5 linked regions of the Macaca fascicularis genome follow. The protein of the gene in region 1 interacts with the protein of each later gene in a pairwise test. Links are inferred from orthologs where the notes say so. Each region holds a gene or a part of one and is shown in the gene's direction. Other genes may lie near its edges. The genes, in order: TPM3, SYCE1, KXD1, LURAP1 and TNNT1.

The links.
Region 2: the proteins of TPM3 (region 1) and SYCE1 interact in binary tests that used the Homo sapiens proteins (3 or more experiments, as listed by UniProt). The two-hybrid records come from large-scale screens. The link is inferred for Macaca fascicularis from reciprocal best matches to the Homo sapiens genes TPM3 and SYCE1.
Region 3: the proteins of TPM3 (region 1) and KXD1 interact in binary tests that used the Homo sapiens proteins (3 or more experiments, as listed by UniProt). The two-hybrid records come from large-scale screens. The link is inferred for Macaca fascicularis from reciprocal best matches to the Homo sapiens genes TPM3 and KXD1.
Region 4: the proteins of TPM3 (region 1) and LURAP1 interact in binary tests that used the Homo sapiens proteins (3 or more experiments, as listed by UniProt). The two-hybrid records come from large-scale screens. The link is inferred for Macaca fascicularis from reciprocal best matches to the Homo sapiens genes TPM3 and LURAP1.
Region 5: the proteins of TPM3 (region 1) and TNNT1 interact in binary tests that used the Homo sapiens proteins (3 or more experiments, as listed by UniProt). The two-hybrid records come from large-scale screens. The link is inferred for Macaca fascicularis from reciprocal best matches to the Homo sapiens genes TPM3 and TNNT1.

The regions. Positions count from the first base shown.
Region 1 is NC_088375.1:106,992,762-106,997,926, forward strand, and holds part of TPM3 (tropomyosin alpha-3 chain), read left to right. Parts: intron 1-638; coding exon 639-714; exon of another isoform or gene 715-1,253; coding exon of another isoform or gene 1,254-1,329; intron 1,330-2,030; coding exon 2,031-2,093; intron 2,094-2,271; coding exon 2,272-2,341; intron 2,342-3,355; coding exon 3,356-3,434; intron 3,435-4,809; coding exon of another isoform or gene 4,810-4,813; exon of another isoform or gene 4,814-5,008; intron 5,009-5,165. UniProt on the Homo sapiens protein: Binds to actin filaments in muscle and non-muscle cells. Plays a central role, in association with the troponin complex, in the calcium dependent regulation of vertebrate striated muscle contraction.
Region 2 is NC_088383.1:142,661,499-142,667,308, reverse strand, and holds the start of SYCE1 (synaptonemal complex central element protein 1), read left to right. Parts: upstream 1-2,249; 5' UTR 2,250-2,274; coding exon 2,275-2,347; intron 2,348-5,810. UniProt on the Homo sapiens protein: Major component of the transverse central element of synaptonemal complexes (SCS), formed between homologous chromosomes during meiotic prophase. Requires SYCP1 in order to be incorporated into the central element.
Region 3 is NC_088393.1:18,950,712-18,956,321, forward strand, and holds the start of KXD1 (kxDL motif-containing protein 1), read left to right. Parts: upstream 1-2,064; 5' UTR 2,065-2,548; intron 2,549-5,610.
Region 4 is NC_088375.1:188,481,953-188,487,566, reverse strand, and holds the start of LURAP1 (leucine rich adaptor protein 1), read left to right. Parts: upstream 1-2,230; 5' UTR 2,231-2,323; coding exon 2,324-2,521; intron 2,522-5,614. UniProt on the Homo sapiens protein: Acts as an activator of the canonical NF-kappa-B pathway and drive the production of pro-inflammatory cytokines. Promotes the antigen (Ag)-presenting and priming function of dendritic cells via the canonical NF-kappa-B pathway.
Region 5 is NC_088393.1:63,018,819-63,024,774, reverse strand, and holds the start of TNNT1 (troponin T, slow skeletal muscle), read left to right. Parts: upstream 1-2,624; 5' UTR 2,625-2,670; intron 2,671-3,759; exon of another isoform or gene 3,760-3,809; intron 3,810-5,745; 5' UTR 5,746-5,756; coding exon 5,757-5,788; intron 5,789-5,889; coding exon 5,890-5,903; intron 5,904-5,956. Other genes in the region: TNNI3 (troponin I, cardiac muscle), read left to right, coding at 1-6. UniProt on the Homo sapiens protein: Troponin T is the tropomyosin-binding subunit of troponin, the thin filament regulatory complex which confers calcium-sensitivity to striated muscle actomyosin ATPase activity.

The DNA.
Region 1 (5,165 bases):
TTATTCTCCTGACTAGTGACAAGTGACAAAAGAGGCTTTCTTATTTTTTGTTGGTAGGTTTTACAAATTGAGAGCAAATAAGGACTAATACATGGTGAACAGTTAACTGGAAGATCCTACTGGGTCCTTCCACCTGGGGTGGAAGACATCAAAGTGGCTATCCTGATTTAAGATCTGGTGTCTGGCTGGGTGTGGTGGCTCACACCTGTAGTCCCAGCTACTTAGGATGCCAAGGCAGGAGGATTGCTTGAACCCAGGAGTTGGAGGCCAGCCTGGGCATCACAGGGAGACCCTGTCCCTAAAACAAACAAAATTAAAAAAAAATAAATCTGGTGTCTGTTTTTGCCACTTTGCCAATCTGCTGGGGAACTTTAGGGCAAGGGTAGATACTAACTGCTCCCCTGTTGGTACCTTCTCGGCCTTGATTAACAAAGTCAGTGCTGATGCATATATATTTGTGCTTCCCTCTTACATTCCCGTCTGCCAGACATAACATATCATGACCATGGTGGTGTTCTCTTCCCATTTTTTGAATTTTTTTTTTTCGTTTTGCTGCTTGTTTTCTTGCTGTGTTCCTTTTTGACCGTTCTCCCTCCCCACAACCTGGCTTGTGCCATCCCCGTGACTATCACTAACAGCCGTTGCCGAGAGATGGATGAGCAGATTAGACTGATGGACCAGAACCTGAAGTGTCTGAGTGCTGCTGAAGAAAAGGTACTAACCATTAAACCCACAGCAAGGTTATATATATGGTGTGGTTTTGTTTTGTTTTGTTTTTGTTTTGCAGCTGCCTCCCCTCCACTTGATTTTGTTGAGTGCTGTCTCATCTCTTCATGGAATGCTCCATTCTTTTCCACTTACTTGGCATCTTTCATCTCTTCTTTCCTAGTTGCTTTACTGCCTCTCCGCAGGGTCTCCTTCCTTTGGGTGATTTGGGGGACTGTTTGGGTTGGGCATTTGTTCCCACCTCCACCCCAGGTAGCAGTTATGACTCATTCCTGGTAGTGGATTTCTCTCAAGTGCTTTATTAGTATTCAAACATTTTGAGCCCAGGAAGGTCTAGCTCCTGACACGTTCTATGGTAGAGGGAGGAGGGTTGATGCTTGCTCAGGTTACTTGGGAACATCTCTTCCCCAGTATGCCTTCCAACTCTCTCTACATATAGGTTCAATTCACGTCTGTGTGTCTCTCTCCCTTTTTTTATTCTCTTCCTTTTCCCTTTTCCTCTCCTGTGGTATTTAAAATATTCACAGTAAGTGTTCTGAGCTGGAGGAGGAGCTGAAGAATGTCACCAACAACCTCAAGTCTCTTGAGGCTCAGGCGGAGAAGGTAGGGGCTGGTTTGTGAAAGTGACAGGCTTTGGGGCCTGGGCCCAGCCCTGCCCTTGATGAAAGACTGGAGACACCCATTCCATATATAATTCAGTGAGGCGTGTCCTTTTCCTACCTCCTTACCATGTATTCAGGTTCTGGGTTTAATGCTACTTTCTGTGCACTTTGATTGCTTTAATTAAAATAACTTCATGGTCTCAGGTTACTGGAGTCATGTGCTCCTCAGGCTGATACTGCTGTGCTGAAAAGCAATAATCAGGGGCCCTAACAGGCTTTCTGGCAGACAGATGGGGGCAACAGACAGAATCAGCTCTGAGACCTAATGAGCAATCAAGACAGATGACTTCACTTTGCCATCATGTGGGTGTGTTTTAGTCATGTGACCTTGGGGTGCCACTACTCTTGCTCATTAAGCAGGGGAAAGGAAAAACACCTCCTTGGGTTGATCTGAATAATATCAAAGCTTAGATCCATCTTAAAAAGTCATGGAGAATTTTAACCTGAGGATCTCATGGCTCTAAAGACAGATTTCTGGATTTCAAGGACCTGTTTTCCAGAGCCAGGCCTTGCTCTTACTCTTGGACCATTCAGCACATTTAGTCCAAGAGGATATTCAATGTAAGAGTTAAGTGTAGGGAGGTGGGTATTGCTTGTGTGATTGATTTCTACTCTGAAATTTTTAATCTACTTATCTTACAGTACTCTCAAAAAGAAGACAAATATGAGGAAGAGATCAAGATTCTTACTGATAAACTCAAGGAGGTGAGCTGAGGGGATTATAGGGCAGGACCCAAAACATTTAGAGGTATATAAGACATTAATGTGGACTTAGACTGGCTGGTTTGGGTTCTGAAAGGTCCAGAAGTAGAAGGTGGAAGAAATAGAGATTGTTCTTCTTTGTCTTCATCTCTGATTCTGACTAATTTCATATTTCCCCCAGGCAGAGACCCGTGCTGAGTTTGCTGAGAGATCGGTAGCCAAGCTGGAAAAGACAATTGATGACTTGGAAGGTATGGAACCTTGAGTAGGGATTGAAATAGAGAAATGTAGAGGAAGACCTTGCCCATTAACTATTAATCTCTTCTTCTGTATACCAAAGGAAGTTGGTATGACTTGGCATGTATTAATACGTGCACTGTCCTATGCCACAGCTAGGCAAAGTGGGTCAAACCCTAGAATTGGTTTTTCAAATGTAATCTTTTCCTTTAAGAAGACTTCACCAAATAGTCTGCAATTTGTACCCTTCCCTTTGAGGAGAATGATAATGGCTGCATTAATCTCCAATTTAGTAGTCTTAAACCTTTAGTCTGTGGGTTTAAACGGAAGCCATGATTTCAGAAGGGCAAGGTGCAGGTCATTTCATGGCTACTTTCCACAGTTCTTTTCACCACTCAAGTTGTGGGGTATTTATCCAAGAAATGAAGTTGTGGAGTAACCACATCTGAACACTGACCACTGTCAGGAGCTTTCTAAATACTTTCTGTCCCTGTAAGTTGGTAACTGCCATCCACGCTGACAAGGGGACGTACTCTTTGCTTTGAGAACTCTGATGTATGCTCCTTTGGTATGCTCTCTTGGCAGAGTTGCAGGGGCAACCTGTGAAGCAGAGGGGCCGCTAATAGGGCTCACATTTTATAGGTAGAGAAGTGTCTGAATATGGATGTATGCTATCTCCCTTTGTTATTTTTGTTCAATTAAGTGTTTCCACTGCTAGGAATTGGGTACCTGAATGGGAGTGGTATCCTCTTGAGTGCTTTTGGTAATAGGAATTTCTAGTTATGACTGTGCCCAGGTTCTCAGCCCTTGCTGCAGTCGATTAGGAGTATCAAGAAAGGCAGTTGGTCATGGGAGAGAGTAGATCTGAAAATGTCCAGTCATGGTTGCCAGAGTAGATGTTTTCCTAACTGTGGTATTAGACCCACAGTCACACTTTCCTAATTTCTAATGATTCCCTCTCTTCATCTGCTTCTGAAACCTTTCACTCTGTCCCCTCATTCCTCCCTGTGGTTCCTGTGCCTGTCCAGATGAGCTCTATGCCCAGAAACTGAAGTACAAAGCCATTAGCGAGGAACTGGACCACGCCCTCAATGACATGACCTCTATGTAACTATCTGACAGCAGAGTGGGGCTGGGATCTTGGCTTGTGGGTGGATGGGGGCACAAGCTATGCATAGTGGTGTGCTTTGGTTTTATCCTTTGGAAACTATAATCTCCACCCTTATCTTTGAAACATTGGTGCTGGTTATTTGTTTGGCAAAAGCTCTGGAGGCATGGCCGGGGGTGGTGGCTCACGCCTGTAATCCCAGCACTTCGGGAGGCTCAGGCGGGTGGATCACTTAAGGTCAGGAGTTGGAGACCATCCTGGCCAATATGGTGAAAACCCGTCTCTACTAAAAATATAAAAATTAGCCAGGCGTGGTGCAGTGCGCCTGTAATCCCAGCTACTCAGGAGGCTGAGCCAGGAGAATTGCTTGAACCTGGGAGGCAGAGGTTGTAGTGAGCCAAGATCGTGCCACTGCACTCCAGCCTGGGCAACAGAATGAGACCCCATCTCAAAAAACAAAAACAAAAACAAAAACAAAAAAAACATTAAAGGCCGGGCATAGTGGCTCACACCTGTAATCCCAACACTTTGGGAGGCCGAGGTGGGCGGATGACTTGAGGCCAGGAGTTCAAGACCAGCCTGACCAACATGGCGAAACCCTGTCTCTACTAAAAAATATTTAAAAAGTTAGCCGGCATGGTGGCGCACGTCTATAATCCCAGCTACTCGGGAGGCTAAGGCAGGAGACTCGCTTGAAACCAGGAGATGGAGATTGCAGTGAGCCGAGATGATGCCACTGCAGTCCAGTCTGGGTTAAAGAGTGAGACTGTCTAAGAAAAAAAAGCTCTGGAGGCAATTAATCTTGGATCAGAAGGAGAACCCTGACTGACTTGTAATTTTTATGTTTTGTATTCATAGTTTTTTCATTATGCTGTGATTTTTCTATTTGCTTCTCAAATTTAGTCTTCTCAGAAGGAATACTGCTAGAGGTAGAATCCATACAACTAAGGAAATAGGGCCCACAGAGCCAGGGACTTGGGCCCTGACACATTAAAATAAAATTCAGGCCTCCTGGGTGTGTTTAATTGGTTCCCCGATATTAAAGTTCAGGGAACTACCCAAGATGGGAAATACCAAATTCACCTAAAAATTGAGCTGGGTCCCAGAAGCAAGCCAAGTGATAAACAGCACCAAAACGAGTTGTTGGGACTTCATCTGTTTGCTGTGGATCCCTGATCCTTGATGCTAATCTGCCTCTTTGTATCTTTCCCACTAACCCTGAAAAGAAGCCACATTTCTCAGGCTGAAGTGTCTGGCTGTCTTTTATTATTCCTGCTGCCACCTATTCCTTTTTTTCCTCTTCCTTTCTCCCAATTTGCTATCTAGATTGATGCTAGTCCTTCTCACCTAGAGTATCCTTACTTTTTCATGCAGATAATTATCACCGTTTCTGCTCTGTTCTGGATCTGCCCCCTTTACTCCTCGGGGAACCCAACGCCCCACTCTCGCTCTGGATTCCATTTGGGTCAGCCTGGCTGGTCCCCAAGGCATTAGGATGGGGGGACACAAAGCAACTTATGTATTTTCTTCCACCCCCACCCCAGATTAAAATGTTAAGCTGCTGGAAACCTCATGCCACCCTGCATTTGTGTCATTGACAAAGCTGCTGCTGTCCCTAAGAAGGAGCCTTGGGGGTGTGATGTGGGGAAGAGCTATCGTAGGCTCCCCCTCCTCTGACTTACATAATCAAAGCCACTTTTGTGTGTGTCTATTTTTTCTTGACATTTAAA
Region 2 (5,810 bases), on another chromosome or scaffold:
GGAATCTGACCCTCCCCAAAAGAAGCAATGAAATGGACCAAAGGACTTAAGGATTTGCAGGGAAGTGAGGGGAAAACGATAGGTGCCCAGAAGAGTACACCTCACGGCCCAGAAACACTCTCAAGCAAGAAAACCAATTCTCCAGGAACCCTAACCAAAACCCTAAGTGCAACCCCTACCACTAACCCCTGACCCTAATGCTGACCCTTAATCCTAACCCCTCACCCTAACACCTAATGTCAAACATGAACCCTTAATCCTAACACTAACCCCTAAACCTAAACCCTAACCCTAACCGATACTCCAATCCCAAGGAAAAGCACTAAACCCCTAATCCGAAACCTTAAGCCTAAACCCTAAACCTAACCCACAAACCTGAGCCCAGGCCCCAACACTAACGTTAACCTCTAAGCCCCAACCCTAACCCAACCCCAACACAAACCCCTAACCCCTAATTCTAACCCTACCGGGCATGGACTTTGGGCGCTGGACCCACGCGCAGCCCCCGCTTCTGTCTCGTACTGGGCGGCGCCCTCAGCACCCTGGGGCTGCTACGGCCCTAGGCCTGGCTGGGCTCAGGGGCGACATCTGGCCCCCAGCCCGCCCCGCCTAACCTGACCCCTTACCCTTAAATCCAACCCTAACCCATGACCCAACACCTGAACCCTAACCCTAACCTCAACCCATAACCTCAACCCCTACCCCTAACCCTAAACTCTAGCTGCAGCCCGAGCCCGAATCCTAATGCTACCATAAACCTAACCCCCGAACCCAAACTTGAACCCAACCCCTACCCCTAAAACCCTAAGCTAAACTGAAACCACAAACCCTAACCCCTAACCCTACTGCTACCCCTAACCCCTAACCCCTGAAGCTAAACCTAACCATAACAACGCTAAACTTAAGCACTAACCTAGCCCTACCCCTACACTAAGCCTTAACCCAACTGTAACTCCTAACACTAACCCTAACCTTTAAACCTAACCCCTTACCCTAAACCGTAACCCCTAACCCTAACCCCAAAACCAACACCTAACCCTAACACCTACTCTAAAACACTAACCTCTAACCCTAACAATCCTTAGCCTAACACCCAAACCCTAACCCCTAACCCTGACCCTAATCTTCTATCCTCGAAACCCTAACCCCAAACCCTAACCCTAACATCCTAACCCCAACCCTAAAACCCTGATCCTAACCATTAAACCCTGACCCTAACGATTAAACCCTGACCCTAAATGCTACCCCTACCCCAACCCTCGACCAACCCTAACCCTACCCCTAATCCTTCCCCATCCCTAACGCTAACCCCAAACCCTAACCCCACCCCAACCCTAAAACGAACTTCTAACCCCTAAACCCTAACCCAAACCCTAACTCTACCCCAACTCTAACCTTTATCCCTAACTCTAACCTGTAGCCCTAACCCAAAACCCTAAGGTAACCTTTTATAGGTTGGGATTCGAGGCTTTGTATTTAGGACGGGCGGGTGTTCTGGTGTCTCCCACTCACCCGCACGGGAAGTTCTTCTGTTGGTTCTTCACAACCAGTCACGGTGCATCGCAGCCTCCCCTGGCCGGTGAAGGGCTGGTTCTCCCGAAAGCCTCGGCTCCTCCTCCCTCCTCCCAGTGCCCTCCAGGCCTCCCCGGTGGCCCCAGCGTGGCAGGGCCCGTGCAGAAGGGACCGTGGGCTTGTGGCCGGCATGGGCCGCTGTGGGCATGGAGCTCACGGGAACGCGGCCTAGGGGCAGGCTGCGCTCCTCTGCGCCAGCGGGAACAGCGGGCCCCGCGGGGGCTGCCACAGACGCGTCACTTGCTGGGGTCCGTGCACTCCCGCGGTGGCGTGGCCAAGCAGAGCCGCGACCCCGTGAGGTTGCCGGGGCCATGGCGCCTCGTGGAGTCGTCCGTGAGACACGCACATTTCACAGGCAGTTGCTGCGTGGCACACGCGCACTGGTCGCTCGTGGTGAGGGCCTCCAGAACCAGGGCCGGCCCCCCTCGGAGGCCAGCACACATGCGCGGGAGCACCCAGAACCGGGCCAATCGCGAGCCTGGACGGCCGGACGTGGCCCTCGCGGGCTTTGTAACCCTCGGGCCTTTACGCATGCGCACTAGCTGCCAGGCAGGCCGGCCGAACATTACTTCACATATCCAGAGCGCGCGCGGGGGTGCATTGCGCAGGCGCGCTGCCTGGAGTCCCGCCCCCTGCAGGGGTTGCTCCAATCACCACTGGAGGCTTCCTCCCAAGCCACCCGCGCTGCTGAGCTGAGAGGAAATGGCGGGGAGGTCCCTGGCGTCGAAGGCCGAGCCCACCGCCGGAGCCATGGACGGGGCTGAGAAGGCCGAAGGTAGTGGAGGGAGGCAGGGAACTGTGCGTGAGGGTCTGACCTCGCCGAGGCGGGGCAGGGTTGGGGCGCGGGTGGCGACTACTTCCTGTCAGTCCTGATGGTGCTGACTGAGACTTAGCGGGTTTCTTCAGAAAACTTTCCGCCAAGATGAGGGAGTGCTGGCCCGCACACCCCTCACTTCGTCTTAAAGCATTGAACCTTTATCGTGGTTGCTCCAATTTTGGTTTAGGTAATTAGTCAAAAGACATCCTGTCGTTCCACAGACTTTTCATACACACCTCTTAAAACAAAAAGGACATTTTCCTGACGCTCCCAATCCCAAGGGAATTCCTAATTCCACACTCCTCTTTCTAGAACCAGCAAGTGTCCAGATTTCCCGGTCGCACTAACCTGGTTCTTGACAGTGGGTTCCCCCACCCAGCATCCCGACGCCCCGGGGAGCCGGGGGAGGCCGACTCCCCGCAGATCTCCCGTTTGTTTCTCCCCGACCCCGACCTGCCGTAGAGGCTCCTACCTCACCCTGGGAAGGGAGGGACAAGGCAGCTGGTCAGAGTTGTACAGAAGTCCCGAAATTGCAGCCCAACAAAGAGAAAGAACACTGTCCTGGCCGTTTCCACTTCAGGACGCTGTGTACCTCTGGGTGTTTTGGGAGAATTTTCAAACTTACACAAAAGTGGAGAGAATTGTACGGTGACGTCCCTCCTGCTGTCACTCAACTTGTCACTCTGTCCTGAGCTCATGTGTCCCCCCTGAGTTAAAACGCTGCAATTAACAAACGCCACGGTGGCTGCCTCCAGCCCTACCTGCGTGAATATCATGGCAGGTGCTCTGTCGTGTTCTTACAAAATGAAGGTTTGAATACTGAAACAAGCTTGGCACAGAAAGCATCCCTACAGTGAGATGTGGCACAGTGAAAGCCCCAGTGAAGGACAAAGCAAGTAAACAGGACAGACGCAAACGTATCCCTTTCATTAAGCACCTACTGGCCCGCCACTGTGGTAGCCTTTCAGTATCACAGCTCCATGTTCCTCACATAACCTAGTATATTTAGATAAGGTTTAACCAACGTTGCTTGTGCCTTCGTTCAAACTGCTACAACAGAAATGCCATTATTTCTCACAGTTTTCGAGGCTAGAAGTTCAAGATCAAGGTGCAATGCAGCGTCTGGTGGGGGCCTGCTTCCTGGTTGTAGACTTCTGTCTTCTCATTTTGTCCTCATATGGGGGAAGTTGCTGCCGGCCTCTCTGGTTTTATAAGGGCACTAATCCCATTGCTGAGGGCCCTACTCTCATGACCTAATCACCTCCCAAAGGCCCCACCTCCTAATGCAGTCACACTAAGGGATTAGGATTTCAACATACGAATTATGGATGGGGGCACAAACATTCAGTCTATAGTGACCAGCTACAGAAGAAAGTTAAAGGACAAGATTCCAGTTTTAGTCGGGATGTTATCTAGGATCAGTGACACTAGATACATTTTAGTAAAAGGTCTGTTAGTCTCCATCTAACTGGCTGCAGTTATTACTATAAAGGGGAATGACTGGGGAAAACGAATGTTTGTGTTTCAATTTTTTCTTCATGCTTTTTCACACATGCCAATTACTTGAATAATGTAAAACTTAATTCATAAATTTATGAGCAGTGATTTGTGTAAGATTTCGGGTGGGACCAAAATGAGGGGACTCCATAAACTCAAAAATAAGCATTTCACAAAACTCTATGCTTGATTTTTTTTTTTTTTTTTTTTTTTTTTTTTTTTTTTTGAGACAAGATTGTGCTCTGTTGCTCAGGCGGGAGTGCAGTGTTACAATCACTGCTCACTGCAGCCTTGACTTCCTGGCCTCAAGCAATTCTCCCACCTTAGCCTCTTAAGTAGCTGCAATCACAGGTGCATGTCACCACTCCCAGATAATATTTTTAAATTTGTTATTTGTAGAAATGGGGTTTTGCTGCATTGCTCAGGCTGCTCTTGAACTCCTATGCTCAAGCAGTCCTCCTGCCTCAGCCTCCCAAAAGTGCTGGGATTATGGATGTGAACTACTGAGCCTGGCCTTATGCATGTATCCATGATTTTTAATGGCTGTAAATGATTTATCCTGTGTATGTGCTATAATTTATTTAACAAATTCCCTAAGACATATTTAGGCTTCTTCCAGTTTTTTACTATTATAAACAATATAGTGATGAACACCTTGCGCATTATCCATATCAGAATTACTTAGGACATAGTCTTAGAAAAGAAGATGCACCCAAACTTTTGATATTTACTATCAGAGAGTTTGTAAGGAGACACCTTGATTTTGCATATCTGGTTGACAAAGATGAACACATTTGGAAACACAGGTGGTTGGTAAAAATGAAAAACTGGGCATCTTGTATACATCAGTGGAGGGTAATTTGGTAATGTCGATCAAAATTGTGACAAACTTTGGTCAGGTGCCTCTGAGCCTTCTCAACCATGCCTCGGCCTTGGCCTGTGATATGGTTTGAATCTGTGTCCTCACCCAAATCTCATGTTGAATTGTAATCCCCAGTGTTGAAGGTGGGGCCTGGTGGGAGGTGGTCGGATCACAGGAGACCAGTTTTATTTAGATAGTGACCACCTATCTTTTAACTGGATCTCTGAGCTCTGGGAAGAGGCCACACTGAATCATGGGTGTCCAAAAAGGGAGAATTATTATGAGGCTAGACCACATGGATGCTTTAACAGTGCACTTAAGAAACATTTTTTTTAAAAAATTTCTAAGTGTCTAAAATATACTCTTCCTTAAAAACGCAAGAGTAGCTTCTGTTGCAATAATTAGTAAAAAGAAAAAAAATATATATATATATATCAGGTAACACAGTACAAAAGCAAGCAGTTTAAGAGCTGAGATGAATTTGTCTGTTTACACTCTTGGGAATGCATAAGGAAAAGCAGTTTTCTCCGCAAATGGGAGTCTGATGCCTTCTCCATTTTCTTTAAGGAACCTCATGCTATTATAAACTGTTTTAGGTCCCTCATGCAGCAGAGGGTGCAAGAGAAAGGAGAGACAGCAGAACTAAATGAAGAAAATAGCCTTCAGTCAACTGAGAAGAAAAAAAAAATTTTGCTCAAAAAACACAAGGACCTAGGAGAGAGAAAAAAGAAAAATCATGAAAGCCTTTTAAACACACACACACACAGAGACACACACATATCTTGGATGTTAGCTTTTAATTAAGCTGACTTTTAAGCTTTTGAGTTTCTTTCAAATTTTTTTTCTAAATCTCTTCAACATATTTCAGCTAGGACGAATAGCTGCTATTTCAGAAGTACCAAGTATCAAACCAGAAAGGTCTTGATTTAGGAACCAAACCCAGGCTGTTACGGAAAAAAAGAAGACAGAACCTCAGCTATGGAACTGCAGTGTGGGTGACAATCATTTCTCTTTCAGTTTGGCCTGGCTAGCAAAAAGATGGCCTTGTTATGTAAATGAAAC
Region 3 (5,610 bases), on another chromosome or scaffold:
CTTTGGGAGCCCGAGGCAGGTGGATCACGATATCAGGAGTTCAAGGCCAGCCTGGCCAACAGTGTAACCCCGTCTCTACTAAAAACACAAAAAATTAGCTGCCCATGGTGGCACTAATGTCTCACTTTGTCACCCAGGCTGGAGTGCAATGGCACGATCTCGGCTCACTGCAACCTCCGCCCTCCGGGTTCAAGTGATTCTCCTGCCTCAGCCTCCTGAGTAGCTATGATTACAGGCACCTGCCACCACGCCAGGCTAAATTTTTTTTCTATTTTTAGTAGAGACAGGGTTTCACCATGTTGGCCTGTCTGGTCTCAAACGCCTGACCTCAGGTGATCCACCCGCCTCGGCCTCCCAAAGTGCTGGGGTTACAGGTGTGAGCCACTGCGCCCAGCCTGTTTGTTTTTTGAGACTGGGTCTCACTCTGTTGCCCAGGCTGGAGTGGGGTCTTGGCTCACTGCAACTTCTGCCTCCTGGCCTCAAAAGATCCTCCCACCTCAGCCTCTTGAGTAGCTGGGACCACAGGCTCGGGCCACTGGCCCAATTTTTTTTTTTTCCCCCAGTTGTAGCTGTGAGGCATTTTATTACAGAAATCTGGTACTCGTATACACAAATCAGTATGAACTTAAAATTCATCATACATTTTCTTCCTTTTTTTTTTTTTTTTTTTGAGACAAAGTCTCACTGTTGCCCAGGCTGGAGTGCAGTGGCACCATCTCGGCTCACTGCCACCTCCGCCTCCTGGGTTCACGCCATTCTCCTGCCTCAGCCTCCAGAGTAGCTGGGACTACAGGCGCCGGCCACCACGCCCGCCTAATTTTTTTGTATTTTTAGTGGAGACGGGGTTTCACCGTGTTAGCCAGGATGGTCTCCATCTCCTGACCTCATGATCTGCCCACCTCGGCCTCCCAAAGTGTTGGCATTACAGGTGTGAGCCACCGCGCCCGGCCCATTTTCTTCATTTTTTAGTTTGTCCTTCTTTTTTTTGAGACATGGTCTTGCTCTATCGCCCAAGCTGGAGTGCAGTGGTGCGATCTTGGCTCACTGCAACCTCTGCCTCCCGGGTTCAAGCGATTCTCCTGTCTCAGCCTCCTGAGTAGCTGGGATTACAGGCTCTCGCCACCACGCCCGACTTTTTTTTTATTTTATTTTTAGTACAGACGAGGTTTCACCATATTGGTCAGGTTGATCTCGAACTCCTGATCTCGTGATCCGCCCGCCTCGGCCTCCCAAACTGCTCGGGTTACAATTACGGGATGTGAGCCACTGCGCCCAGCCTGTAAACCCTTTTTAAAAAATTCCCCAGCGCATTCCTCCAAAACAACGTGGAAGTGTAAATGGAAACCAGGATTGGGCGCGGTGGCTCACGCCTGTAATTCCAGCACTTTGGGAGGCCGAGGCGGGCGTATCACCTGAAGTCGGGAGTTCAGGACTAGCCTGACCAACATGGAGAAACCCTGTCTCTACTAAAAACACAAAATTAGCCGGGCATGGTAGCGCATGCCTGTAATTCCAGCTGCTCGGGAAGGCTGAGGTAGGCGAATCGCTTGAACCTGGGAAGCGGAGGTTGCGGTGGGCCAAGATCGCGCCATTGTACTCCAGCCTCGGCAACAAGAGCTTAACTCTGCCTGGGGAAAAAAAGGAAATTTAAGACTAAAATCAGCAAAAGTGGAGCAGGTTTGTCTGAACACAGATGAGTCTGATTCCCTGCCTGGAAAGCAGGACACCTGAGTGTGGTTTGGTCGCTGACCACTGAAGCATTTACGACCTTGGGGAGGGTTACCGCTCTGGGACGCCAGTCAGTCACACCATCTATAAAAATGGGACACTTCTCAGCCTTCCTTCTTTCGGGCTGCTTTGAAGTCTGGGCTTCTGGAAATACGCAGGCGCGAGACGAACTGTTTGATTGGCTATTCATTGTGACGCGCCCGCGAGCTGCAGCTCCGTCTAAGCCCCGCCTAAGCCCCGCCTTTTCCTGTCGTGACTCCACGCACGCAAGCGGCTCCAGGGTACGCCGCCGCCACGCGCGCTCGCACGATCGGTGCGTGGTGACGTTGCGCCGGCGCGGGCGCCATCCCGGAAGCGCGAGCAAGGCCGCCAGATGTGCAGGTGCCGCCGCTACCGACGCCGGGGCCGAGTTTGGGGTGGGGCTGGGGACTCCAGGGCCTCGGGGAACCGGTCCGGGTCGGGCGCGGCCCCCGGGCTGCGGTGGGATGGGGTGCGCCGCTGGCCACATCTGGTCATTCCTGCTGCGCACAGGCATCAGTTTCCCCGTCTGCTCAATGGATACGCAGGCGGCGCCGCGGGCTGGATCTGGATCCGGATCAGGGGCATAGAAATTGGGCCCGCCTGTGTTCTGGGTGTGTCGTGTAACCTGGAGCTGGGCGTTGCCCGGTCTGTGCCTCAGTTTCCCCGTATTGTAGGGGACGGGGCGTGAGGGGGGTATTTGAGCCCCTCCCCACTTGGGGTTTTTCAGAGCTTGGATGGCTGAGTTAAATTCTGTTAAATAACCTGGATATAGAACCGTGGTGCTTCTCTGTCTCTCCATGTGAGTTTTGGCAACTGAGCCCGCCCCTGTGAGCCTCAGTTTCACTCGGAGATGATTGTGTTTGCCTCGTAACAGTGATTGAGGATTAACTGAAGTGCTCTACAAGTGTTTGCCCGTAATATGTTCTTAGAGACCCCTGGGATGCTGTCAAAATGCTGATTCCCGGACCCTGTCCCGGGACTTCTTCACACTCCTCTTGGAGAAACAGCCTGTCCTGAACTCCCCTCATTATCACCTTTGGTTTCAGTTGCCACAGACAGCACTGTGAGATCGTCATTCTACCTTATTCCCGTTTTATGGTTGAAAAAAACTGATTCAGAAGGGTGAAGTGGCTCTCCCATGGTCAAACAGCCTACCTCTCTGCGTTTCTTCAATAAATCTATATTTGGAGTTGGGATCAGAGCTTTTGCTGGGTCAATTTCACTGTGTATGTGGAGCAGACTAGCAGTAATCAGAGAAGGCTTCTTGTGAGAGGAAGTTGCTGGGGGACGGGAGGGAAGTGCCAGGAACCCCCCAGCCCTCACATCTGGGAGCCAGAGACAGAAAAGAGTCCTGTTTTGAAGCAGGAGTGTATCCTAGAAGGTCCCAATACTGTGCCTCTCTGGCACTAGCTATGGACCTCCCTCTCCAGGTGTCTTTCTTTCTATTTTATTTTATTTAGTTATTTATTTATTTTGAGACGGAGCCTCGCTATGTCGCCCAGGCTGGAGTGCAGTGGCCGGATCTCGGCTCACTGCAAGCTCCGCCTTTCGGGTTCACGCCATTCTCCTGCCTCAGCCTCCCGAGTAGCTGGGACTACAGGCGCCCGCCACCTCGCCTGGCTAGTTTTTTGTATTTTTTAATAGAGACGGGGTTTCACCATGTTAGCAAGGATGGTCTCGATCTCCTGACCTTGTGATCCGCCCGTCTCAGCCTCCCAAAGTGCTGGGATTACAGGCTTGAGCCACCGCGCCCGGCTTCTTTTTTTTTAAGTTGAGATGGAGTCTCCCTCTGTCGCCCACACTAGAATGCAGTGGCTTGATCTTGGCTCATTGCAACCTCTGCCACCTGGGTTCAAGCAATTCTGCCTCAGCCTCCTGAGTAGCTGGGACTACAGGTGCCCGCCATCATGCCTGGATAATTTTTGTATTTTTAGTAGAGATGGAGGTTTCACCATGTTGTCCAGGCTGGTCTTGAACTCCTGACCTCAAGTAGTCTGCCCACCTCGGCCTCCGAAAGTGCTGGGATTACAGACGTGAGCCACCACGCCCGGCCTCTGAAACCTTTTCTGATCCAGTAGAAGTAGGTTTCTCTGTTTCTTGGCTATTAAATGTGTGGGCCTCAGAGGCAAACTATATCAAGATCCTAGATTTTTCCTGAACTCCCTAGGAGGGTTAGTGCAGTAGCCCCTCCTCCCCTGGTTGCTTCTGGAAGTCCCTGCCTGCCATTACAGTCATCCGTGTGCCAGTAAAACTGGGAACCTCAGAACCATCTGGGTTACTGGGGCCCACGGATTGGCTGTGAGTGCCTGCAATTCTTGGCTTTAGTTTGCTAATAAAAGTGTCATGTCATGTAATCTCAGCACTTTGGGAGGCCGAGGCAGGCGGATCACGAGGTCAGCAGATCCAGACCATCCTGGCTAACATGGTGAAACCCTGTCTCTACTAAAAATACAAAAAATTAGCCAGGCGTGGTGGCGGGCACCTGTAGTCCCAGCTACTCGGGAGGCTGAGGCAGGAGAATGGCGTGAACCCGGGAGGCAGAGCTTGCAGTGAGCCGAGATCGCACCACTGCACTCCAGCCTGGGCGACAGAGCGAGACTCTGTCTCCAAAAAAAAAAAAATTAAATTTAAAAAAGCATCATGTCAGAGCTGAGTTTGAAAAGTTCTGTTGCCCTTCCCCACAACAACATTGTGACATTCTGGCAGTCCCTTGCTATGAACCAGGTTCCGGGTCAGGCTCTGGTGACAGACACGCCTCTTCCTTTTTTTTTTTTTTGAGACAGAATCTGTTGCCCAGGCTGGAGTGAAGTGGCGCAATTTTGGCTCACCACAACCTCTGCATTCCGGGTTCAAGCGATTCCCCTGCCTCAGGCTCCCGAGTAGCTGGGAGTACAGGTGCCTGCCACCATGCCTGGCTAATTTTTATATTTTCAGTAGAGACGGGGTTTCACTATGTTGGCCAGGCTGGTCTTGAACTCCTGACCTCACGTGATCCACCTGCCTCGGCCTCCCAGAGTGCTAGAATTACAGGCGAGAGCCACCGTACCCGGCCACCTCTGCTTTTTTGGAGCTGACATTGTTGTGGGGGTGACAGGCAAATGGGTTAGCTGATGACTAGGATAATTTCATGAAGATGTGAACCAGTGAAGCAATTAAATCAAGGTAAAGTGTGGCTGGATGCGGTGGCTCATGCCTGTAATCCTAGCACTTTGGGAGACCAAGGCAAGAGGGTTGTGTCAGCCTAGGAATTTAAGAGCTGCCTAGGCAGCATAGCGAGATCCTGTCTCTTAATGAACAAACAAAAACAAGGTAAAGTAGGCTGGGTGCGGTGGCTCATGCCTGTAATCCCAGCAGTCAGGGAGGCTGAGGCGGGTGTATCGCCTGAAGTCAGGAGTTCAAGACCAGCCTGGCCAACATGGTGAAATCTCGTCCCTACTAAAAACTACAAAAATTAGCCAGGTGTCATGGCAGGCACCTGTAATCCCAGCTACTCGGGAGGGTGAGGCAGGCGAATCGCTTGAACCCAGGAGGCGGAGGTTGCGGTGAGCTGAGATCGCGCCATTGCGCTCCAGCCTGGGCAACAGGAGTGGAACTCCGTATCAAAAAGAAATAAAAAAGCAAGGTCAAGTAGTAAGAGAAGCAGTACGAGTGACCGGAATAGCGGTCCCTGACCTCTTGGGAGAGGAGACATTGGAGGTGGTGATGATTTGCTGAGGCAGCCACACACGTTCAGCTTGTGAGGACAGCAGGTGTGTGATGGGGGATGAGGGAGGAAGCTGGCAGATCTGTGCAGATGAGAGGTGCCTGTGGCCTTGGGCTCATGGAAGTGGGAGGTGATGGGATTCTAATGTGCTTGGGTAC
Region 4 (5,614 bases), about 81 Mb from region 1:
TTGCAGTGAGCCAAGATGGTACCACTGCACTCCAGCCTGGGCGACAGAGCCGGACTCTGTCTCAAAAGAAAAAAAAAAAAAGACAAAGGTTTTTTCTATCTCTAACTTAAAACCTTTCCATGGATCAAAAAGTACCAAGGAAAATGATGTTACTTAAAATTATAAAGGTAGGCCAGGCATGGTAGCTCATGCCTGTAATCCCAGCACTTTGGGAGGCTGAGGTGGGAGAATTGCTTGAGGCCAGGAGTTGAAGACCAGGCTGGCAACATAGCGAGACTCTATCTACATAATTTTAAAAAAATTAATTACAAAGGTAACCATTAGATGAACTAAAAAGAGTGATAGAAATATGTAGTGCCAGGCCAGGCGCAGTGGCTCACGCTTGTAATCCCAGCACTTTGGGAAGCCGAGGCAGGCAGATCACGAGGTCAAGAGTTCAAGACCAGCCTGACCAACATGGTGAAACCCCCCCCCATCTCTGCTAAAAATACAAAAATTAGTTGGGCGTGGTGGCACGTGCCTGTAATCCCTGCTACTCAGGAGGCTGAAGCAGGAGAATCGCTTGAACCCGGGAGGGGAGATTGCAGTGAGTCAAGATTGTGCCACTGCACCCCAGCCTGGGTGACAAAAAAAAAAAAAAAAGAGAGAAATAAATAGTGCCAGTAGGGGAAACGAACTACAGAGTGTGAGTTAAACCCATATATCCATATTTATCTGAATATGATAATAAACAGCAGTTGAATGTTTAAAATTGAGAAGCAGTGTGGCTGGGCATGGTGGCATACTCCTGTAGTCACAGTTGCTTGGCAGGCAGGAGGATTGCTTGAGCCCAGGAGTTGAGTCCAGCCTGGGCAACACAGGAAGACTCTGTCTCTAAGAAAGAAAAAAAAAAAAAAGGAGTGGTAGGATTTACAATAAGAAAATATTTACTCCTACCCTACCCTTTCACACCTCTAGGCCCACTCCCAGTTGGCAATCACTTTTAGTTAACTCTAAACAATAACATTACGGGTATGAACACCAAAAAAAACAAAAAACAAAAAACCCCCCAAAAACTAAAAGTTACTTTTTGCCAATTGGGAGTGGGCCTAGAGGTGTGAAAGGGTAGGGCAGGGGTAACTATCTTCTCATTGTAAATCCTTCTGCAACCACGGGCTGGAATTACTTGAATTACAAGCCTACACAAACCAAAGTTTTCATGACTGTTCATTACCTGTTAAATAAAACCCAAACATCTCAGAACCATCTTCTGTAACCTTGTTATCAAAGTGTGGTCCCTTATTACTTGAAGCGTGGACCAGCAGCATGGCCATGACCTGGGAGCTTATTAGAAATGCAGGATCTTGGCGGGGCCCAGTGGCTCACACCTGTAATCCCAGTACTTTGGGAAGCCGAGACAGGCAGATCACTTGAGATCTGGAGTTCAAGACCAGCCTGGCCAACATGGTGAAACCCCGTCTCTACTAAAAATACAAAAATATTAGCTGGGCGTGGCGGTGCATGCCTGTAATCCCAGCTACTCAGGAGGCAGAGGCAGGAGAATCGCTGGAACCGGGGAAGGCAGTGGTTTGCAGTGAGCCGAGATCGTGCCACTGCACTCCATCCTGGGCAACAGAGCAAGACTCTGTCTCAAAAAAAAAAAAAAAAAAAAAAAGGCAGGATCTCAGGCCCCACCCCGATTTACAAAATCAGAACTGCATTTTAATACGATCCGCAGATAATTCATATGCACAGTCAAGTTTAAGGAGGAGGATCTTGCTTGTAAGCTCAATGTGGACCTCTTCAGCTTCAATACTGGTTGCCCCTTTCTACTCCATTAGTCTGAATTCTAGCCCCTGGGGTGTTGTGTGTGTGTCTGACTAAAATCCAGCCATCGTTTTAGACCCAATTCCTCTGCTCCAGGAAGACTTCCAAGCCTTCTGCAGCTCTCTGTTACCACTGTTCCTTAAACTCCCACATCTCTGACTGAAGCTGCTTAGACTTCATTCTGCAAACATGTATTGGGCGCCTGCTGTGTGCCTGGCTGGATTCAGTGCCAGGGTGGGGCGAAGGCGCTGAGGTCTCCGAGTGCTCTTTCAGGTCCAACTCCAGAACCGCCCAGCCCCACGCAATCCAGGGCCGGAGGTTGTGTGCGCAGCACTCGAATATACCCACGGACAGTGCTGCGCGGCTTTTCTGAGTGTTACGGCACCCTCCTGCCGCCCGCGCGGCTCTCGGGCGGGGACCCACCGGTTTTGCTCCGCTTTAGCAGCGGCGAAGGGAGGACCCCCGCGAGCCGGTCCCTGGCGTCCGGTTGCCCAGCCCTTTTCAGGCTTGGGCCCGCATGGAGGGAACCGTGGAGTCCCAGACGCCTGACCTGCGGGATGTGGAGGGTAAGGTGGGCAGGAAGACCCCTGAAGGGCTGCTCCGTGGGCTGCGAGGCGAGTGTGACCTAGGAACCTCTGGCGCCCTGCTGCTCCCAGGGACGCCTAGCACCGGCCACGACTTGGGGGACAAGATCATGGCGCTGAAGATGGAGCTGGTGAGTGCAGACTCCATGGGCCAAGGGGACGAGTCCCCAGTTTAGGGCCAGGAGGGACGAACTCATGCTCTCAGAGTTAAGCTGGAGAGGAGGTAGTTAAAACTCTCCACCTAACTGCTCAGAATCCCTCCCAGATCAATCCGTAAACGCTGGGGTGGAGATGGAGTGACATCCATTAATTGTCCCCCAAGAGTGAGTGGGGGTGTTGATAGGTCCTGAGGAATTGGGGTGGGAGCCGTGGGTTTTGGAAGTTATTCCTGCCAAATAATTGGGAGGAGAGAGATGAGTACTGGGAAGTACTGAGAACCCAACGCAGCACAAATTCCCCCCGCCCGTATGGGCCACCTATTCCCCCCCAGTCCCCGTTGTAAGGCAACCGGTTTTTTCTCCTTCTGCTAACCGGGAAAGGGTTTAGTTCCTGTGAGGCCCGCAGTGTTCAGCACAGAAAAGATGTGGGTAAAGGGGCCTATCTGCTGTAAACTGTCTGGACCAGGGGCACTGAAAACCTTCTCCATTTCCTCTACATCCCCCAGCCCTACTTAAAATAATGGAAAGTTCCTAGACCCATAGCAGGAACAGAGAGTAACAGCACCATTGGTGCTGATTCCCTCACCTCAGACTCAGTCTCCTCCCATCCAATCTCCCAGGTAAACTGGATATTTGGATCTCATCTGCACATTCTTGGGGAGAAGAGGAAACAGCAACCTTCCCGTTTCTCTGTTGCTGCTGGTCTAGATTCAGAGCCAAAAGGGCAGCCAAGGCCCTGGCATGTTCCTCAGGGCCCTGATTCCGGTGAAGTGGGTGATTTACACCTGCCACTACTTTGCAGCCAGTTCTGGGGAACTGAGGAATTGCTATCAGCTTCCTGGCTTACAACCAGGAGCCCACAGTGAATATGTCAGCTAATAAGTCTTTCTGGACCCCCACTGTGTGCGCAGCCTGTGCCAAGCTGGTCTGTGAAGGAGCAGGGGAAGGAAGTCATGGGGGCTCTTAGACCAGCCAGGGCTCTAATGCCTGAGCTGAGAGACTGGGAAGAGAGTCTGGTGGGTGGAGCAGCCAGGAAAGGCCCTCTGGGAGAAGGACTTGAATGCCAAGTGTGCACTTGGCCTTGAAGGTTGGAGGTGAGTGCCAAATTCTCCAGAGCAAGGCTGTGACTGTCCCCACCTAAGCAGGGGTTTGCCTTTGTCTCGCTGTACAAACTTTAGCTCAAGGCCTAGTAAGAGCCTACCTAGACTGTCTAGTTGCTTTGAAAACTAACTTTCACCCAGCACATGTGCCAGGCAGCTTGCTGAGCACTTTACTTGATACTCTCTTCATCTCCACAGTAACCATGTTAAGTAAGTGATATTTTATAGATGAAGAAACTGAGGCACAGGGTGGGCATGGTGGCTCACGCCTGTAATCCCAGCACTTTGGGAGGCTGAGGCAGGCAGATCACTTGAGCCCAGGAGTTTGAGACCAGCCTGGGCAACAAAGCAAGACTCTGTCTCTGCAAAAATTAGATGGGTGTTGTGGTGCATGCCTGTAGTCCCAGCTACTCTGGAGGCAGAGGCAGGGGGATCACTTGAGCCCAGGAAGAGGAGGTTGCAGTGAGCTGAAATCGCACCACTGCACTCCAGACTGGGTGACAGAGCTCAGAGCTAGACCCTGTCTCAAAAAAAGAGAGGGAAGGAGGGAAGGAAGGGAAGAAGGGAGGAAGGGAGGGAGGGAGGATAAAAGAAAAGAGAAAAGAAAACAGAGGCACAGGGAGTTTAATAACTGCCCAAGATCACACAAAAAGCATGGCCATGATTTGAACCCAGATCATCTGACTGCACTTTGCATGTTTACCTTTGAGACCTGCTTTGTGCCAGATAGTCTAAACACATTTTATGTCATTGAAATGAGAAAACTGGTCATCATTTCTCCCATCTTACAGATAAAACATGCTTGCAGATTCTGAACTCACATAGGGAGTCAGTGGAAGAGCCACGCCTAGTCTCTCTGGCTCTCTTTTCTGCCTTGGTGGAAACGATCTGTAAACTTTAAGGGGCTGCATTTAACTTTTGATTTTGTCTCTCTGTATTCTTGACCCTGCTTGCCTGGGGCCTGAGGCTGCCCGAGAAAGGGCACAAGGGAGGGAGCCTTCTGGGGCCAGAACGAGGAGAGATCCCCATCCTATTTTTCTCCCTCCTCAGGACAGGATGTTATTAATATTAATCTCTTCCTGTGCTCTGCCCTGCCTACTGGGTTGCACCCAGGAAGGACAAGCAGTGGGGCAAGGGGTTTCCCTTGGGGCTAATGAAGGCAGGACTGGTTCAAGCCCTCTAAGGACTGTCCTTCAATTGTTCCTCTCCCAGCTTTCCTTGCACAAAGTGGGGAGGCCTACCCTTGAGGCCAAGGTCAGTCCGCCTCTAGGCCTCATCCCTCCTGCTTTCTTCCTCTACCCACCATTCAAAGGTTGAGTGAACAAGCCAGACTGGGATATGTGGGAATGGGAAACAGTGGCAACCTCTTCTTAGTTCTCCCACCCAAAGAACTGTTGCTATGACAACCCACCTCCACAGAGGCAGTCTGAGAAGAAGCTTTAGGCGAGGAAGAAGGCACGGGTTCAAGTCTTGGCTCTGCTTCTGAAACGTTTTGTGGTCTTGAGCAGTACTCTTTCTCTCTCCTGGCCTCAGTTTTTCTTCCTCTTGGTGGAGGGAGTAGAGGGAGATGGGGACTGTGGAACCAGATGATCGTAAGAACCTTTGTAGTAACAATATTCTGATAGTCCCTGCTCTAGGAGCTCCAACTAGGATTTCCAGGCTTTTACCCCAGGGCCTGATTTGGATTGAGCAATGAGGAAACCATACAGAACCCCAGCGCTGGGCAGAGTCTGATATGTAGATGTTAAGGAGAGGAGTAGGGAGCCTGAATCTCCTTGGAAAGAGAATTGGGTTTGGAGTTGCCTCTGAGGCTGCCTCTCTCCTGAGCTGTTTATCCTATACTCTATTTTCTTCAAGAGATCGTGTGAAAAGAGTGTTTCTTTTTCTGGCAAGAAAGCCTTGCTTTCTTCTATTCTGGGAGTGATGCTGTCACAGTCAGGGAATCCCACTGTCACAGGATTATAGA
Region 5 (5,956 bases), on another chromosome or scaffold:
GGCTGAGTCTTCCTACCTACTGCCCCCGCCCTGAGGAGGGCCCTGAGGAATAAAGCTTCTCTCTGAGCTGAAAGTGACTCCATGTCTATTACCCAGGGCTTAGGCAGGAGAGAGATGGGAAAACTGAGGGCAGGGCTCCCCCAAAGTCACACAGCAGGTCGGGGACCAGATGGATCTCCCATGTGGAGCACTCTTGGCTCTGTTATCAAAAAGAATTCCAGGGTTCATGAATTTGGAGAGGGGAGCTTTGTTTCTTAAGAAGCAGATCACAACCTGCAAACTGGAAGCGTGGCTTCTTGCCAAAAAACAGAAGCAGGCACTTTAAGGGAGGGAAGGGCAAGGCAGGAATTTACGCTGAGTGGGTTGGCTACGTGCACGTATTCAACTGGTTATAGAAGGAGCTATGAATATTCATGGACAGGTGGACACACACATGTGTGACAAGCAAACATGCATTTTTTTTTTTTTTTGAAATGGAGTCTTGCTCTGTCACCCAGGCTGGAGTGCAGTGGCACAATGTCAGCTCACTGCAACCGCCACCTCCTGGGTTCAAGCCATTCTCCTGCCTCAACCTCTCCAGTAGCTGGGATTACAGGCATGCACCACCAGGCCCAGCTAATTTTTGTATTTTTAGTAGAGACGGGGTTTCACCATGTTGACCAGGCTGGTCTCGAACTCCTGACCTCGTGATTCACCAGCCTCGGCCTCCTAAAGTGCTGGGATTACAGGCGTGAGCCATTGTGACTGACGACAAATATGCATTTTACATGGTGGTGGAGGCTTAATATTTAAGTGCATCCCATTGAATGCATTCGTATGGAAACATGAAGCAGGCATATGAAGGCACCCAGTGCACAGCCTCTGTCAAAAGTCAGAACCAGTCTGTGGTCCGTGGTATCTTATCAGGAGAAAGTTACTGAAATCAGTCTCTCATTCAACTAATGCTGTAGCTATGCGTTGTGGAACAGGGGGTTCAGTTAGTCAGCATCTGGCAATGGATGGCTGCAATTGTTGTAATATTGCATATCTTGAGGCCAGTGTTTGTTTAGCTGCTAGAAAAAGGAAAAGCCTTGTGGCAATTAGAACATAGTTTATTATATAAGTGTAGGGATGCGTGACTTAACCCTTGCCTGGCATGGCCTCAGGTCTTGTTTATAATTTGGTATCTTATTGCCACAAACAGTTCATTCCATCAGTCTTCTGATCTCTATTGTCACAGCACCTCTGGCCCATGTGGAGTGCACAGAGATGCCAAGATTAAAGCTCAAAGAGAGAGACACACAGAGAAACAGATAGGCAGAGAGACATACTGGCAACAGAGGGACTGAGTTGGGAGTAGAGAGAGAAGGAGCCAGACAAAGACCCAAAGAGAGAGGGAGAAAATACCATGGATGCATAGAAGGAAGTGCAAAGAAAGGAGAAAAGAGAGACAGAGGTATAATCACAGCAAGGTGCGGAGACGTGGAGACCCTATAAGAGAGGGAAATGGAGAGCCACAGAGCGGGAACTGCGGGCACTAAGACATGGAGAGAACTAGAAAGACAGAGACGTGAACATGGACACAGAGACCCAGAGCCAAAAAGAGACAGAAATGGGGTCACAGGTGGACAGAAATGCACAGAGAAACTGTGAGCCTCCACGGACACAAACGCTGAGAGGGGCAGACATGCAGAGACACCCACAGAAATGCAGAGACAAAACCACCTAGAGACACATGCCAAGAAACACACTGAGGGACCCAGAAAGAGACAGATGCAGAGAGAGCCCAAGACAGACCCCAGCAAGAGGCCCCAGGAAAAGCACAGAAACACAGAGACGGACCACGAGAGGCAGAGGTACTGAGAGGTACTGAGAGGTACTGAGAGGCGGGGAGGGGAGGAGGCCTGCTCTCCAGGGCCGGCTTGAACCCAGAACTCAAGGTCATGGCTTGGCTAGGAAGCGCGAGGGGGACACCAAAAAGATCAGTGTTAGATGAAGGTGGGGAGGGAGGGGAGGTTTCACCCTAATTGACACCCCCTCTCCCTCCCTCTCCCCACACCTGCTTCCCGGCTTTAGTGCCTGTTGTCACCAGGATGGAATCCTGGTGGCAGACAAAAGGGTGGGGGTGGGGAGGGGGAGACAGAAAGATGGACAGAGACAGAGGGGGAGACTAAGAAGTGGAGACAGACACACAGAGATACACAGATGGAGAGCCACAGACACAACAGAAACGGGGGTCCAGAAAGAGACCATGGTAGAAAGAGGGAACGGAGAGAAGAAAACAGAAAACATTCCTTATAGCCCATTTGTCATTAGTAGGTCCTCCAAGGACCTACTGTGGGCCGGGCGTGGGGACGTCAAAGCACAGGGAGCTGTAAGGGAGGTAGCTGCAGCACCATGAGACCTGGGGGTGGGGTGGGGGCGGGAGCGGGGCTCCTGGGCCGTGCAGATGGGGTTAGCATGGGGTTGGGGAGGGGCCCGCGGAGGCTTTTGGACTCTGAGTGTGGAGCCAGGGGCAGCGGGGCTGTCTCTGAGCTCCCAGACTTGTGTTTGAGCAATGGAATTCTCTCCCCCTCCCTCTCCCTTCGGGGCGGGGCCAAGCCTCCCAGGGCCAGCTATAAACTCCCGGTAGCTTCAGTGCCCTCAGCAAGGCTCAGCCACGAGCTTCCCAGCATCTCAGACACAGCCTAGGTAAGGGGCTCTGTGGGGCCCTGTGGTCTCCAAAGACTGTGTCCTTGCGGGAGGGGGCAGGAGGTGGGTGGGGAAGATGTGGGGTGTGGAGAAATGGTGCAGAGGTAGGTGGGGCAGACAACTGGAAGTCTGGGAACTTGAGAGGCTCAGACTTCAGGGGGACTCAGGATAGAGGGGAAAATACTGGGATTTGTGGGTCACACAGATCCGAACCCGGGGCTGCCAGGACTTGGGTGTCCCAGAACAAAACCTCCTAGGATCTTGGGGTTCTGGGAATCTGGGGGAAATCTCAGCAGTCAGGGATATCTGGACTTGGAGGTCAAACAGTCTGGGTGTCAGGATTTGGGGCCTCAGACTCTGAGGGTATCAGGAATTGGGGGTGGGTCTCACAATCTGGGGTTTTAGGAGTGGAGGCCTCGGAATCTGAGGTATTATGATAGAAAGCACGAGAACTTGGACTGTCATTATCTGGGTATCATGAATTGGGCCTCCGAGGTTAGGTATCAAGATTTTGGGGGTCTCATATTCTTGAGGTTTCAGAATTTAGGTCCCAAGACCTGGGGGTGGTCTTAAGATGTCCCGGCCCATATCTGGACTATCAAGAACAGCTGTGAGGACTCGCTGGTCTCAGAAACATGGGCATCACAGATTGGGGTCTCAGAATCTGTGGGTATTGGGATTTGGGGCTAGGCACCCCGTGGCCTAGGGAATCTCAAAGACTTTGAGGTCCAAGAATATAGGGGTCCGGGTGAGGTCTGTGGACAGAAGGTGCCCTTTATGCTCCTGCCCCCTGCATGATGTATGGGAAGGTGAAAGGGGAGACAGGTGGGGAGGAAGCCAGCCAGCGGGGAGGGGTGAGTGGGAGAGGGGATGAGGGTGACTAATTCTCCCAGAAGCCCCCCTTCCTCAAATCCCTTCTTAGGAAATGTCCTCTGTCTCACCATCTATGACATCCCCCCGAAATAGCTCCTGGGTGTGGGGCAGCTATTGTCTTCAGGCCACTGTCCCTTCTCAAATGCCTCCTCCTAATCCCAGCTGGATCAGGTTCCCATGGACTTGTCATAAGACAAAAGAGGACAGCTGTGTGGAGGGGGCAGGGTCTGCAGCCTCCTGGCTGTGCCAGGACCACATCTACCAAGGTCTGTCCTCATGCGTGCTTTAGGACAGCCAGCCCCCTCCCTCGGACCCAGGAGTCCAGACCTGAGCCCTCCTCCCTCAGACGCAGGAGTCCAGGTCCCCAGCCCCTCCTCCCTCAGACCCAGGAGTCCAGACTCCCAGCCCCTCCTCCCTCAGACCCAGGAGTCGAGACCCCCAGCCCCTCCTCCCTCAGACCCAGGAGTCGAGACCCCCAGCCCCTCCTCCCTCAGACCCAGGAGTCCAGACTCCCAGTCCCTCCTCCCTCAGACCCAGGAGTCCAGACTCCCAGCCCCTCCTCCCTCAGACCCAGGAGTCCAGACTCCCAGTCCCTCCTCCCTCAGACCCAGGAGTCCAGACTCCCAGTCCCTCCTCCCTCAGACCCAGGAGTCCAGACTCCCAGTCCCTCCTCCCTTAGATCCAGGAATCCAGGCCCCAGCTCCTCCTCCCTCAGACCCAGGATTCCAGACCCCAGCCCCTGCTCCCTCAGACCCAGGAGTCCAGCCCCTGGCCTCTCCTCCCTCAGACTCAGGAGTCCAGACCCCCAGCCCTTCCTCCTTCAGGCCCAGGTGTCCAGCCCCTGGCCCCTCCTCCCTCAGAACCAGGAGTCCAAGCCTCCATCCCCTCCTCCCTCAGACCCAGGTGTCCAGGCCCCAGCTCCTCCTGCCTCAGACCCACGAGTCCAGACCCAGGAGTCCAGACCCAGGAGTCCAGGCCCCAGCTCCTCCTCCCTCAGACCCAGGAGTCCAGAACCAGGAGTCCAGGCCCCCAGCTCCTCCTCCCTCAGACCCGGGAGTCCAGACTCAGGAATCCAGGCCCCCAGCTCCTCCTCCCTCAGACCCCGGAGTCCAGACCCAGGAATCCAGGCCCCCAGCTCCTCCTCCCTCAGACCCAGGAGTCCAGACCCAGGAGTCCAGGCTGCAGCTCCTCCTCTCTGACCCAGGAGTCCAGCCCCCAGCCCCTCCTCCCTCAGACCCAGGAGTCCAGACCCCCAGCCCCTCCTCCCTCAGACCCAGGAGTCCAGACCCAGGAGTCCAGCCCCCAGCCCCTCCTCCCTCAGACCCAGGAGTCCAGACCCAGGAGTCCAGGCCCCCAGCTCCTCCTCCCTCAGACCCCGGAGTCCAGACCCAGGAATCCAAGCCCCCAGCTCCTCCTCCCTCAGACCCAGGAGTCCAGACCCAGAAGTCCAGGCTGCAGCTCCTCCTCTCTGACCCAGGAGTCCAGCCCCCAGCCCCTCCTCCCTCAGACCCAGGAGTCCAGCCCCCAGCCCCTCCTCCCTCAGACCCAGGCGTCCAGGCCCCCAGCCCCTCCTCCCTCAGACCCAGGAGTCCAGCCCCCAGCCCTCCTCCCTCAGACCCAGGAGTCCAGGCCCCCGGCCCCTCCTCCCTCAGACCCAGGAGTCCAGGCCCCTGGCCCCTCCTCCCTCAGACCCAGGAGTCCAGCCCCCAGCCCTCCTCCCTCAGACCCAGGAGTCCAGGCCCCTGGCCCCTCCTCCCTCAGATCCAAGAGTCCAAGCCTCCATCCCCTCCTCCCTCAGACCTAGGTGTCCAGGCCCCAGCTCCTCCTGCCTCAGACCCACGAGTCCAGACCCAGGAGTCCAGACCCAGGAGTCCAGGCCCCAGCTCCTCCTCCCTCAGACCCAGGAGTCCAGACCCAGGAGTCCAGGCCCCCAGCTCCTCCTCCCTCAGACCGAGGAGTCCAGACCCAGGAGTCCAGGCTGCAGCTCCTCCTCTCTGACCCAGGAGTCCAGCCCCCAGCCCCTCCTCCCTCAGACCCAGGAGTCCAGACCCAGGAGTCCAGACCCCCAGCCCCTCCTCCCTCAGACCCAGGAGTCCAGACCCAGGAGTCCAGCCCCCAGCCCCTCCTCCCTCAGACCCAGGAGTCTAGGTCGCCCCCTCCTTGGGGCCCCACCCCACTGGGCCTCTTCTCTCTGTTTCTTAGGCCGCACCAGGATGTCGGACACCGAGGAGCAGGAATATGAGGAGTGAGTGCCGCACTGGGAGGGGTTGGGGCGTGCAATGGTGGAGAGGCTCTCCCACCCCAGGTCTAACTCTCCCCTCCCTCTTTCCCCACACCCGTCCGCAGGGAGCAGCCGGAAGGTGAGTAGGGAGTGGGCCGGCCCCTTGGGATGGAGACACCCCCAGGAACTCTT